2 separate regions of the Mus musculus genome follow, and region 2 is reported to be linked to region 1. The links are microRNA targets in miRTarBase. Many come from high-throughput screens and were not tested one by one. Region 1 holds a microRNA gene; the other region holds the end of a gene's coding sequence.

Evidence for each region. Region 1 holds the annotated microRNA mmu-miR-190b-5p (UGAUAUGUUUGAUAUUGGGUUG, at 2,845-2,866, shown strand). A microRNA usually pairs through its seed, bases 2 to 8, with sites in the 3' UTR of a target mRNA and lowers its output. Matches are read on the target gene's strand: a 7mer-m8 pairs with bases 2 to 8, a 7mer-A1 pairs with bases 2 to 7 and ends in A, and an 8mer does both.
Region 2: the mRNA of Tmprss3 is a reported target of mmu-miR-190b-5p. Seed matches in the 3' UTR shown: 8mer at 1,788-1,795.

What each region holds. Positions count from the first base shown.
Region 1 is chr3:90,067,186-90,072,257 of GRCm38, forward strand. Mir190b (microRNA 190b) reads left to right here and starts at 2,835; the gene lies at 2,835-2,914. 1700094D03Rik (RIKEN cDNA 1700094D03 gene) reads left to right here. Exons shown (of 4, transcript NM_028567.2): 4 at 1-1,162.
Region 2 is chr17:31,176,258-31,181,318 of GRCm38, reverse strand. It overlaps Tmprss3 (transmembrane protease, serine 3), which reads left to right. Exons shown (of 12, transcript NM_080727.2): 12 at 716-2,054. The coding sequence ends at 733. Among named protein-coding and RNA genes, the nearest start is that of Tff1, 14 kb to the right of the region's middle.

The sequences.
Region 1 (5,072 bases):
CAGGCTTTGAACAGGAGTTACAAGTGTAGCATGTGTTTTGTAGATGAAGCCACAAAATGCCACCTGGATTTTGATTGACAAGACTGACTGAATCCTTCTGTCTGTCCCTGCCCTGTGTTAGTCTGGTCTGTACCCTCTTAGCCTCTTTAATCTTCCTTCTGTCTCCTGGACCACCTGCTGATTACCAGATAGTATGGCCTAGAGTTAATAGAATGGACAGATCTGGTTTTCAGGGTTGGCCTTTTCGCTTAGTTTGGTCTAGTCCAATTTTTAATCTGAGAAGCGGGTAACTGGGGAAACGGCTCAGTGATTGGGAGCACTAGCTACTCTTGCAAAGAACCCAGATTCAATTCCTAACATCTATATGGTTACTCAACAGTTCCAGAGTATCCCTTTCCCGGCCTTGGCAGGGACCAGGCAAACGCATGGTACACAGACATGCAGATAAAACACCCATGCATATAAAACATTTTTAAATAATTTTAAGTCTGAGTTTTGGTTGCTAATTTATGAAATGAAAACAATTCCAACCTTACTGGGTTACTGTGGGAATTAAATAAGACACCTAGAAGAAATCACACATAATAAGTAATACAAACAGGAAGCCATAATGCTGTCTTCCTACTCCATGGTACTTTCTTCCCTAATTTCTACTCCCACTACACTTTATAACCAACCTCTTCAGTTCTCTCTTCCTTTGTTCATTTAGACTCACTGGATGCCCCATCCTGTCTGCCTGGATCTCTGACCTTGGCCTGTTGCCTCAGGGCTCATCAGTGCCAGGCCGACTCCTTTATTGGCAGGTTGGCTCACTACAGCGCTCATCTTCCCTGACCCTCCCTGCCAATACTGTGTGCACTCATCACATCGCTCAATTGTACCCCACCAGTCCATGCTGCTGCTGGAGCTGATGTCACACCCTGGCCTTGTGACTTGGGACTTAAACCTATTTGAAATAGCTGCCTAAAAACCACTGGCAGAGCTCTGTGAGATGGTGCAGTGGATAAAGACACTTCCTACTAGGCCCGATGACCTGAGTTAATCAACCCTCATAAAGGAGAGAACAGATTCCTGGAAATTGTCCTCTGACCTTCACATGGGCACCATGACACAACCACACAAAATATGAAAGTGTAATAAAAATAAAAGGAAAGATAAAGTACTTTCGTTGGTGTGGTGTTTCTTCTTAACTGCGCCACCCAGTCTTCCTAGAGAGCCGCACCTCCCACACCAATATGCCCAACCTTTCTCTGTTCCTATAGTACCCTAAACTTCAATTCTGTTTGGGTTTGTTTTTGAGTCAAGTTTTCTCTATGTAGTCATGGTTGTCCTAGAACTCACTATGTAGACCAGGCTGGCCTCAAACTCCAGAGCTGCTCTTGCCTCTGCCTTCCAAGTACTGCAGTTAAAGGTGTCTGCTACCCTCATTTGGGGAGTCTTCCATTCTTTCTAGTCTCCTTCCAGCCTCTCTTCCTCCTTTCTGTTTCCCATTATGGCCAAGGCTCTCAGGAGGGAAAAATAGAACTTGAGAGATGAGGGGTAACATCAGTAAGTGGAGGGCAAGAATATAAATATTTCATACACACACTCAGACTTTGGGAACTACAAAAGAGAAAAGACAAAATACCACAAGCACCTAACTTGGGGCTTAGTCACATTTATTAGTCTTTCCCTGGGAGGCAAGTGCCACATCCAATTAATTGGAATTGATTGGTTGTTGGGACATGTTATTGATCTAAGACAAAGTCACTGTGAAGTTGTGTGGGGGAGGGAGATGTCAGAATTAATGGGAGCAAGGACACATGGAACATGCCTGAGGACTGATAAAGAGTGTTTTCCCAGCCCCCGTGCAGCTATAACTTGGGCTCCTTTTTGCCACAGTGAGTGAAGCATCAGCCAAATGGCACTCAACAGACCCAATTCTCTCCAAGAGGGGGAAAAATAACCAGGTTGAATCCCTATGAAGGAAGAGCCTTGGAGAAGGCAGCCCCGGACCTCTGGTGACAGAAAGCTGTAGAAAGGAATGGGAGTCCTGAGGGTTGCAGGCTGCCTCCTGACAGAAGCAGTTCCCTCTTGCTCTTGATCTAAAAGCCTTAGTTTCAATTCAGCCAGGAAGGAGAAGCTGGGAGTCTGCTAGTCTGGAGCCCAGACTGAAGCCTGTGAGTGCAATAGCTTTTCTGTTCTGGACACCCAATGGTACCTTGAAGGAGGATGCCTTAAGGTCATGAGGAGGAAACAAGGACCCAGATGGTACAAGCACCAGCCCCACATTGCAAACATTTTCTGGAACTCCTGTTGACTTGAAGCTATGAAGTTGGAGTCCATTGAGAAGACTGAGCAGTCTCACAGGAGAAAAGAAATCTGGGAACGTTAGAAGTTTGGTTGGAAAGGAGAAAGTAGAGGAGATGCAAACCCCTAACCTTACCCCCCGGAAAGCCCTGGGCAGCTGAGGTGGCATCGAAAGGCAGGTGGCAAAGCTTCTGAGGCGCTGCTGACATGGTGATCCTCTGGAAGCTGGTGCTGTCACACAACAGGGAGGAGAAGAGTTGTGTGGGAGCTTCGGGAAACGGTAGGTGCCCGGATATGAAGCCCTGCCCAGTGTTCTTGAATTACAAAAACATGATCCAGCACACACTGAACACAGTAGAAGAGGGGTTGTGGTGGGGACGGCATGAAGGACAGATAACCAAGACCATATTTGGGGAGTGAAAGACCACAAGGGTCAGTGCCCTTGAAGATGGGTTTCCTCCTGTACATGGTGAGGCTCTGGTTCGTCTCCCTGACCTTTCTTCACAGAGAGGGGAGGGGCCGATGACGACCAGAGTTTGCCTGCCTGCTTCTGTGTGATATGTTTGATATTGGGTTGTTAAATTATGAACCAACTGAATGTCAAGCATACTCTCACAGCAGTAAGGAGACTTGGCACCACCTCCTTGGCTCCGTCAGCCCCTGGGGCTCTGAGACTCTTGTCTGCCTGACTTTCTGGTTTGTTTTCAAGACAGGGTTTTCCTACATAGCCCTGGTGGTCCTGGAGCTCACTATGTAGACAAGGCTGGCTTCAAACTCACAGAAGTCCTCCTGCCTCTGCCTCTGCCGCCTGAGCACTGGGACTAAAGGCACATGCCACCATACCCAGTGCTTGTTTTTTTTTGTTCCTTTTTTGTTTTTTTGTAAAATGTTGGTGATGGGACCCAACACCTCATATTCACTAAGCAAATACTCTACCACTGAGCTATAGACCCAGGTTATTACATTATTTTTTATTTTATATATATATATGTATATGTATATATATATATTTGCTGTCTTCAGACATACCAGAAGAGGGCATCAGATCCCACTACAGAGGATTGTGAGCCACCATGTGGTTGCAGGAATTGAACTCAGGACCGCTGGAAGAGAGCAGTCAGTGCTTTTAACCGCTCAGCCATCTCTCCAGCCCTATGATTTTTTAAAAAGATTTATTTATTTATTTATTTATTTATTTATTTATTTATTTATTTATATGTGAGTACACTGTAGCTGTCTTCAGACACTCCAAAAGAGAGCATCAGATCTCGTTACAGATGGTTGTGAGCCACCCTGTGGTTGTGGGATTTGAACTCAGGACCTTCAGAAGAGCAGTCGGTGCTCTTACCTGCTAAGCCATCTCACCAGCCCCATGATTTGTTTGTTTGTTGTTTTGTTTTTCTAGACAGGGTTTCTCTGTATAGTCCTGGCTGTCTTGGAACTCACTTTGTAGACCAGGCTGGTCTCGAACTCAGAAATCTGCCTGCCTCTGCTTCCCAAGTACTGGGATTAAAGGCATGCACCACCACTGCCCGGCTAAAAGTATCAGTTCTTTGTTGTTGTTGTTGTTGTTGTTGTTTGTTTGTTTTTTGTTTTTCAAGACAAGGTTTCTCTGTGTAGCCCTGGCTGTCCTGGAACTCACTCTGTAGACCAGGCTGGCCTCGAACTCAGAAATCCACCTGCCTCTGCCTCCCAAGTGCTGGGATTAAAGGCATGCACCACCGTGCCTGGCGATTCTTTTTCTAACTAAATTTCTCTCCACAACTCTCCTAAAAGAGATGTATATAGAGCCCATGTTAACCCGGAAGGCTCATGTGGAAGTGGGAGAGAGCTGAAATTTGAGGAGCAACTCTTCATATATCTTGCCCCCTATGGTAGAAAGGATGTATCTCTCCTCCTTGTCTTCTGCTCTTGTCTTTTTCTCCTCTCTATTGCCCTCTTCTCTATCAACCCATACATGTCCTTTCTCTGGTTCTCTCTTGTCCCCTTTTCCTGACTGGCCTCTCAATTGGGGGTGCTTGTTTTCTTTGCTTTCTTCCAACAGTTAGCTGGAAGTCTCTCCTCCCAGTCTGTTAGTATCAGTCTGTTCTTAACAGGGAGGCTCTCGAGAGGGAGCCGGCTCTGCCCCTGCCCCCACCCTGATGCTTGACTCCGGTCCCACACTGCTGTGGTTTAGCCTCAACACTAACTATCCTTGACATTATGAATTAATTAGAACCACTTCTACTTGCTCTGCTAGCTCCAGTCCGGTCACCTTGAACAGTGTCCACTCCTCTGGCATAGATGGGTATATGGCAACTGTGTATGGGATCAATTGCCACCTGTCAATAGCAAGATTCCAAGTGGAATTATGAGCATAGCTGGCACTACACTGGGGGAAGTAGAGCTGGTGGACACTATAATGGCATGGTGGACAGCGGGCTGGGGAGGGGGCCACAGAGGGAGCAGTTGAAGAGGAGTAGAGGAAAGCGACAGTCTTCAGTATGTCAGACCTTCTATTTTAAGGTCGCTATGAGAAAACGTGATCCTGTTCTGTGACCTCCTTGTTTCTCATCCCACTTGACACCCTGAGATACCCTTTCAGATCCCAGGCCTTCAACTTTATCCTATGGCCTTTACAGACTAATGTCTCCTTGCCTATTAGAGAATCCCAAAATAGCCCAGCAATCCCAACTGTCAATCTGGGGGAATTGTCAACGATCATGAGTGACCTCCCATCGTCACTGTTGACCACGCTCCTTAGATACCAGGAATCCAAAGACCAAACCAGTAGAGTTTGGTCC
Region 2 (5,061 bases), not on the chromosome of region 1:
GAGCCCCAGGACCTTCTTCCAGTCAGTCTCAATTAGGGATCTGGTGTAAGGACCAGGTGAACTTAACATTTTGAACATTCTTTTAGAACGGCTGGTGTATCAAGTCTCACTGGCAAGCAGGGAAAGACCCACCTGGTTTCTGAAGTGTCTTGTTGTCTGAGGGGCTTCACGATGGTGGCTGGCTGGGCTTTGGACAGTCTCTCTGGGCATCTTAGTCATCAGCTGCCTCTGACCACGGAGGACCTGCAGGAAATGTCACCTGCCAGACACATCTGCTTTTAAATCGCTTTCCAAGTAGCTCAAGGAAGGTCTGGAGGCCCCCTCCATTCTGTAGGAAGATTCCCAGGTTTGGCTTGTCCCCTGGGAGGTTCTTCCTCTCACTCCGTGGTACTGTTCTATGCCAGGCCCAGGGAGTCCCCACGCCACCATCCTCACCCTACTGAGCATGTTTCCCTATCCAGTTAGGGCTTAAAACAAAATGTTTCTGTCCTAACTTAATCCCCCGGAGCATGCAGCCGAGACGTAGCACCTTCACGTAGCAGTCTGTGGGACAGTCTTGGGTAGAGATGAAGAGTGCAAAGGGCTTCCTGGGTGGGAGCCATCCAGAGCTGGCAGACTTTTCCCTCCTCAGCAACCATTGATAACACCTGGTGGAAAAACCTGTCTGAGACATGGTTTGCAGGGGAAAAACAGCGGTCCCTGTTTTCACTTCTAGAGAGATCTGAAGACTTGAAGAAAAGGGAACCAGCCAGCCCCTGAGCTCCTGAGGGTGGTCACAGCCCGAGCCTTCCCTGGACTCCTGTGTGGCCATGTTGGATGCGAGTATCAGCTTTACTGCTCTGCCCATTGCACTGAAAGGGAGACAGCGGGAAGAGCATTCTCCTAACCCCGACACCTGGAGTGGCTTGCTGCTAAAGCCCCTGACCTCTGGACTTTGGGGCTGAAACGACCTTGGATGCTCTTTCTGTGCTTCATGAACCAACTCATGCACACAAGTGGCACCTTTCCCTGCCACCACCCTAGATTTTCTCCTCAGAGTGCCTGCCAACACAGGCAAGCTCTCATGCAAAGCCATCGAACACCAGTTGGGGCAGCTACGAAGCCAGGAACTGCTGATGTGAATTGGTGAAGATGCAGTCACCTGTTTGTTCCCAGATCTCAGATCTCCACCCAATCGTCTCCTTCCCAGAGCTGGTTCCGGGAGTGGGGAACTTGGTCTGTGACTGATTCACTGTTTTCTCACAGGATTTGGTGCTTGACGAATTCCTCCCTTCTGGAAGGTGTCCCTTTGTGTAGCTTGGCTTGTCCTCGGGCTTGAGTGAATGCGTGGTGGTGGGTGGTGGGCACAGAAATCATGGGCTCACGTCAGAAGCCCATCCTACACACGTCAAGAGTTTGCATTTTCCTGTTAGAATAGGTTTCCCAGATCTCAGAAGTATCCCATATTGCATTGTGGGATGCATAAGCAGAGTGAGGGACACAGGTCTGGGCAGAGACAAGACTGGGCACTAAAAGCAAGCTGAATCGAGGAGTCCTAAGTGATGGGTTCTGCCTTACCCCCCGCCCCGTGCACTCTGCTAATGGGTCATAGCTGATGGTGTCCGGGTCCCTCTTACATGGCTCACAGTCCTGTGGTTCCCATATTACCCAATAACAGAGGAGGGTTATGTGAGACATAGCTATGGGTCACTCAGGCTTGTCACAGACGAAGTCTTCAGAGTAGGAATCAGTTGTTTTGTGGCTGTAACAAAAAGTGTGTGTGTGTGCATGTGTGTGTGTGGGGGGAGACATATCACCAGGACAAACTACTTTTGTACACACATAGCCATTGTACTTTGACTCAACCCTATCCAGATTAGAGCCCCCACATAGCTTTCTGTGAATAGAATACAGGTCCCAAGGCCCACGGTGGGTACCTGAAACTGTGGGCAGCTCCGAGCCCTATATGGATGGTTCTTTTCCATATGCATCCCTCCCTACAGATGTGCTTCATCTACTAGTCACAGTAAGAGATGACTATCCTCACTGAAAATAAAGCACAGCAGTTATAAAAACATATGGCCGCTCACACTAACATGTTACACTCATCATCAACAGCAGTGAGGACAGGAACTCAAGCGGGGCAGGATCCTGGAGGCAGGAGCTGGTGCAGAGGCCGTGAAGGGTTGCTACTGCCTGCCTGCCTTGTCTTTCATGGCTTGCTCAGCCTGCCGCCTTATAGAATGCAAGCCCACCACCAGCCTAGGGATGGCACCCACCCACAATGGGCTGAGCCTTCCCCCCTCAATCACTAATTAAGAAAATGCCCTACAGCTGGATCTCATGGAAGCTCATTTCTCAACTGGGGCTCCCTCCTCTCTCTGATGACTCTAGCTTGTGTCAAGTTGACATAAAACTAGCCAGTACAACAGAGAGCAGATGTCGCAAGCTCAGAGATGTCAAGCCATGCCATTTGCAGCCTCTGCCACTTCAGGCAGAGAGCAGTCAGGTGGGACCTACTGTGGCCTCCTCCATAGTCCCTCCCCCGGCCCCCACCCCCACATCTGCAGCCAGAGGCAATCAAGGGCTCCCCATGCACTGACCCAAGGCCATCTCATACTCAAAGTCACCCTCCTATCTAGCATCTTCTTGCTCCATTCCTAACACTCAGATTAGGTCACTGGTGTGGTGTGAACTCCCCTCCCTGCAACCTCTAAGAGTCAGAAACTCCCTTCAAATCCCCAAACTGAAGGCTCTCTCCCTTCAGAACCCTGCCCATTGCCACAAGGATCTTAGTAAGGCTCGTACCTACAAGGCTGTTATGTCTTTCTTTCGTTATATCTGTAACCATTACAAAGTAGAATAAGGGTCATTTGGACATAAGCATTGGTCTACCAAGATTCTGCCCCATAAATGAAGCTTCACTATCCTTATCACTAGTAGGTGGGTAGCATATTCAGTGTGGACACACTGTACAGACTCATGACTTATGTCCTGGCAGGGGTGGTGAGGGGAGAGTGGAAAGGCATGAGATTTCCCCTATAGTATTCAAAACAGTAACCGAAAAACTCACCAGTAGTTTGTTTCTGGAATTTTCCATTTAATACCATTGGACTGTATTCAGTCGACTTCTTGTAAGCGAAACTTTGGGAGGAGGAACATTAGCTGATGGTTGAGGGTGCTCTCTTTTCCGGTGGGCTTTGCCAGGTTCTCTTTGACAATACTGCCAGTTTCCGTGGGATAGAGGCAAGCTGTGAAGTGAGGTGTTTTCTTACGTAACCATCCCCCTTGAGAGAGCCAGACAGGTTGGAGAAGGAAGGTTTCAGCCTGCTATGACCTCATCCTTTCCTGTCACTGTTGTTTCGATGCTTACAGACTATCTTGGATAATTCAGATGGCAGCCCAGCCAATCAGCACAGACTGGGTGCCTGGTCTAACCTCTGCACATTTCAATAGTCTTACCACTGTCATTGCGCTAGGCTGTGACAGCTTAGCTACTTCTTGGGAGCCATTCTTAGCAGAGCCTTCTTTTGCCCCTCGTCAGGACTTCTTCCCCGAGGCCTGATTCCCCTCCATATTCCTGCTTCCCTTCCCTAAGCCTTCCCACATCCCCCAGCCACCCTGCCACAAGGCCTGCTTCACCTTCCTACTCCTCTGCAAGCCTTAGGTCCTTTTCCTTTGGCCTGGCACTCAAAATTCAAAAGAAAAGACCTGCCTAAAGGATCAATGTGCTAACTGCTGAGTTGTATTTCTTTAGGTTTACAGGATCTAGGACATCTATGTGCTCTTCATACAACATAAAACATTTCAGCCTTTTCATAGTCTTTACTAGGAAGTGTGGGCACTTCTGTGAGGTTTGGCTTGCAACAGCTTGGACTCCATTGTCCGGCTCAGGCCAGAGGGAAAGGGTACTGGAAGTCAAGACAGCATCCAGACGCAGCCTTTCTGCTTCTCTCTTCCCTGTAAACATCGGTTGCATCCCCGAATCCTCCAAAGCAGAGCTCTTAGGACAGCCTTATCCATCTGCCAAGGTGCTGGCCCTCGAATAAGCCTGATTGCATCTCGTAAGTTCTCATCTCCCAAATGTTGGCTTTCACATGGAGATGACTAGATGTTAGTCCAGTAACACTGAGAAGTAGGACTGGCGAGTGATCCCTCTTCTATGGGGAGGAGTCTAGGGTGTGAGAAAGGATGCACCTTCTTAAGACCACACATTGGCCCAGCACTGTACGGACTAAGAATGGCTCATCTTAGTCTGTTTCAGTGGGAATGAAAGCCACATGGGACCAGACACTCTGGCATTTTACTACTTATTCAGAGCCATCAGAGACACCCATGATCCAAGGTCCTGGCTGATTTCTTCCTCTAGGGCAGCATTTTGTTTTTCCCAGAGATAGCTGCTGGCTCAAGGCAGAGGTCAGTAGGGTGGCCATGTTCTTCTCTTTCCAGATGTTGATGTTAGCATCATTCTGTTTCTCTTTTCCCTTACCTCCTAAGATAAGGTCTCTCGTTGAATCTAGAGTTTTTTGTTTGTTGACCAGTAAGCCCTAGAGCAATCCTGTTTCTGCCCTGCCCTGTCCTCCCAGTGCTGGAGTTACAGGTGTGCGTGTGTCCATGTTCAGCATTGTGTGTTTGTTTTAAACACGGGTAATGGGGATTTGAACTTAGGCCCTCATGCTTGCATGGCAGGCATTGTGACACACTGAGCCACCTGCCAAGCCCCTCTGTTGCTTAAAAATTAAATGTCACCAACTCAAGGATGTCTCACTGTGCCCCATCCTTACCCACATCCTGTAAAACAAAGCTTTAGTAGGCTTGCCGCAGGCAGAGACCACACAGTCCAGGCAGAGCCTGTAGTGAACTCGGCATGCAGAGTCATGGTCTGTCTATCCATCCGGCAGTACCATCTTTGAGAGGGGCTGGATCCTAGTTTAGTTACCCCTTCTGTGTGCTTATAGAGACTAGATTCTCCCTGAAGTTTCATGAAACTCCTCTGTGTTAGTTACTTCTCTGTTGCTGTGACAAAGCACCGTGACCAAGCAAGAGTTTGCTTTGGATTACAGTTCTAGATGGATAAGATAA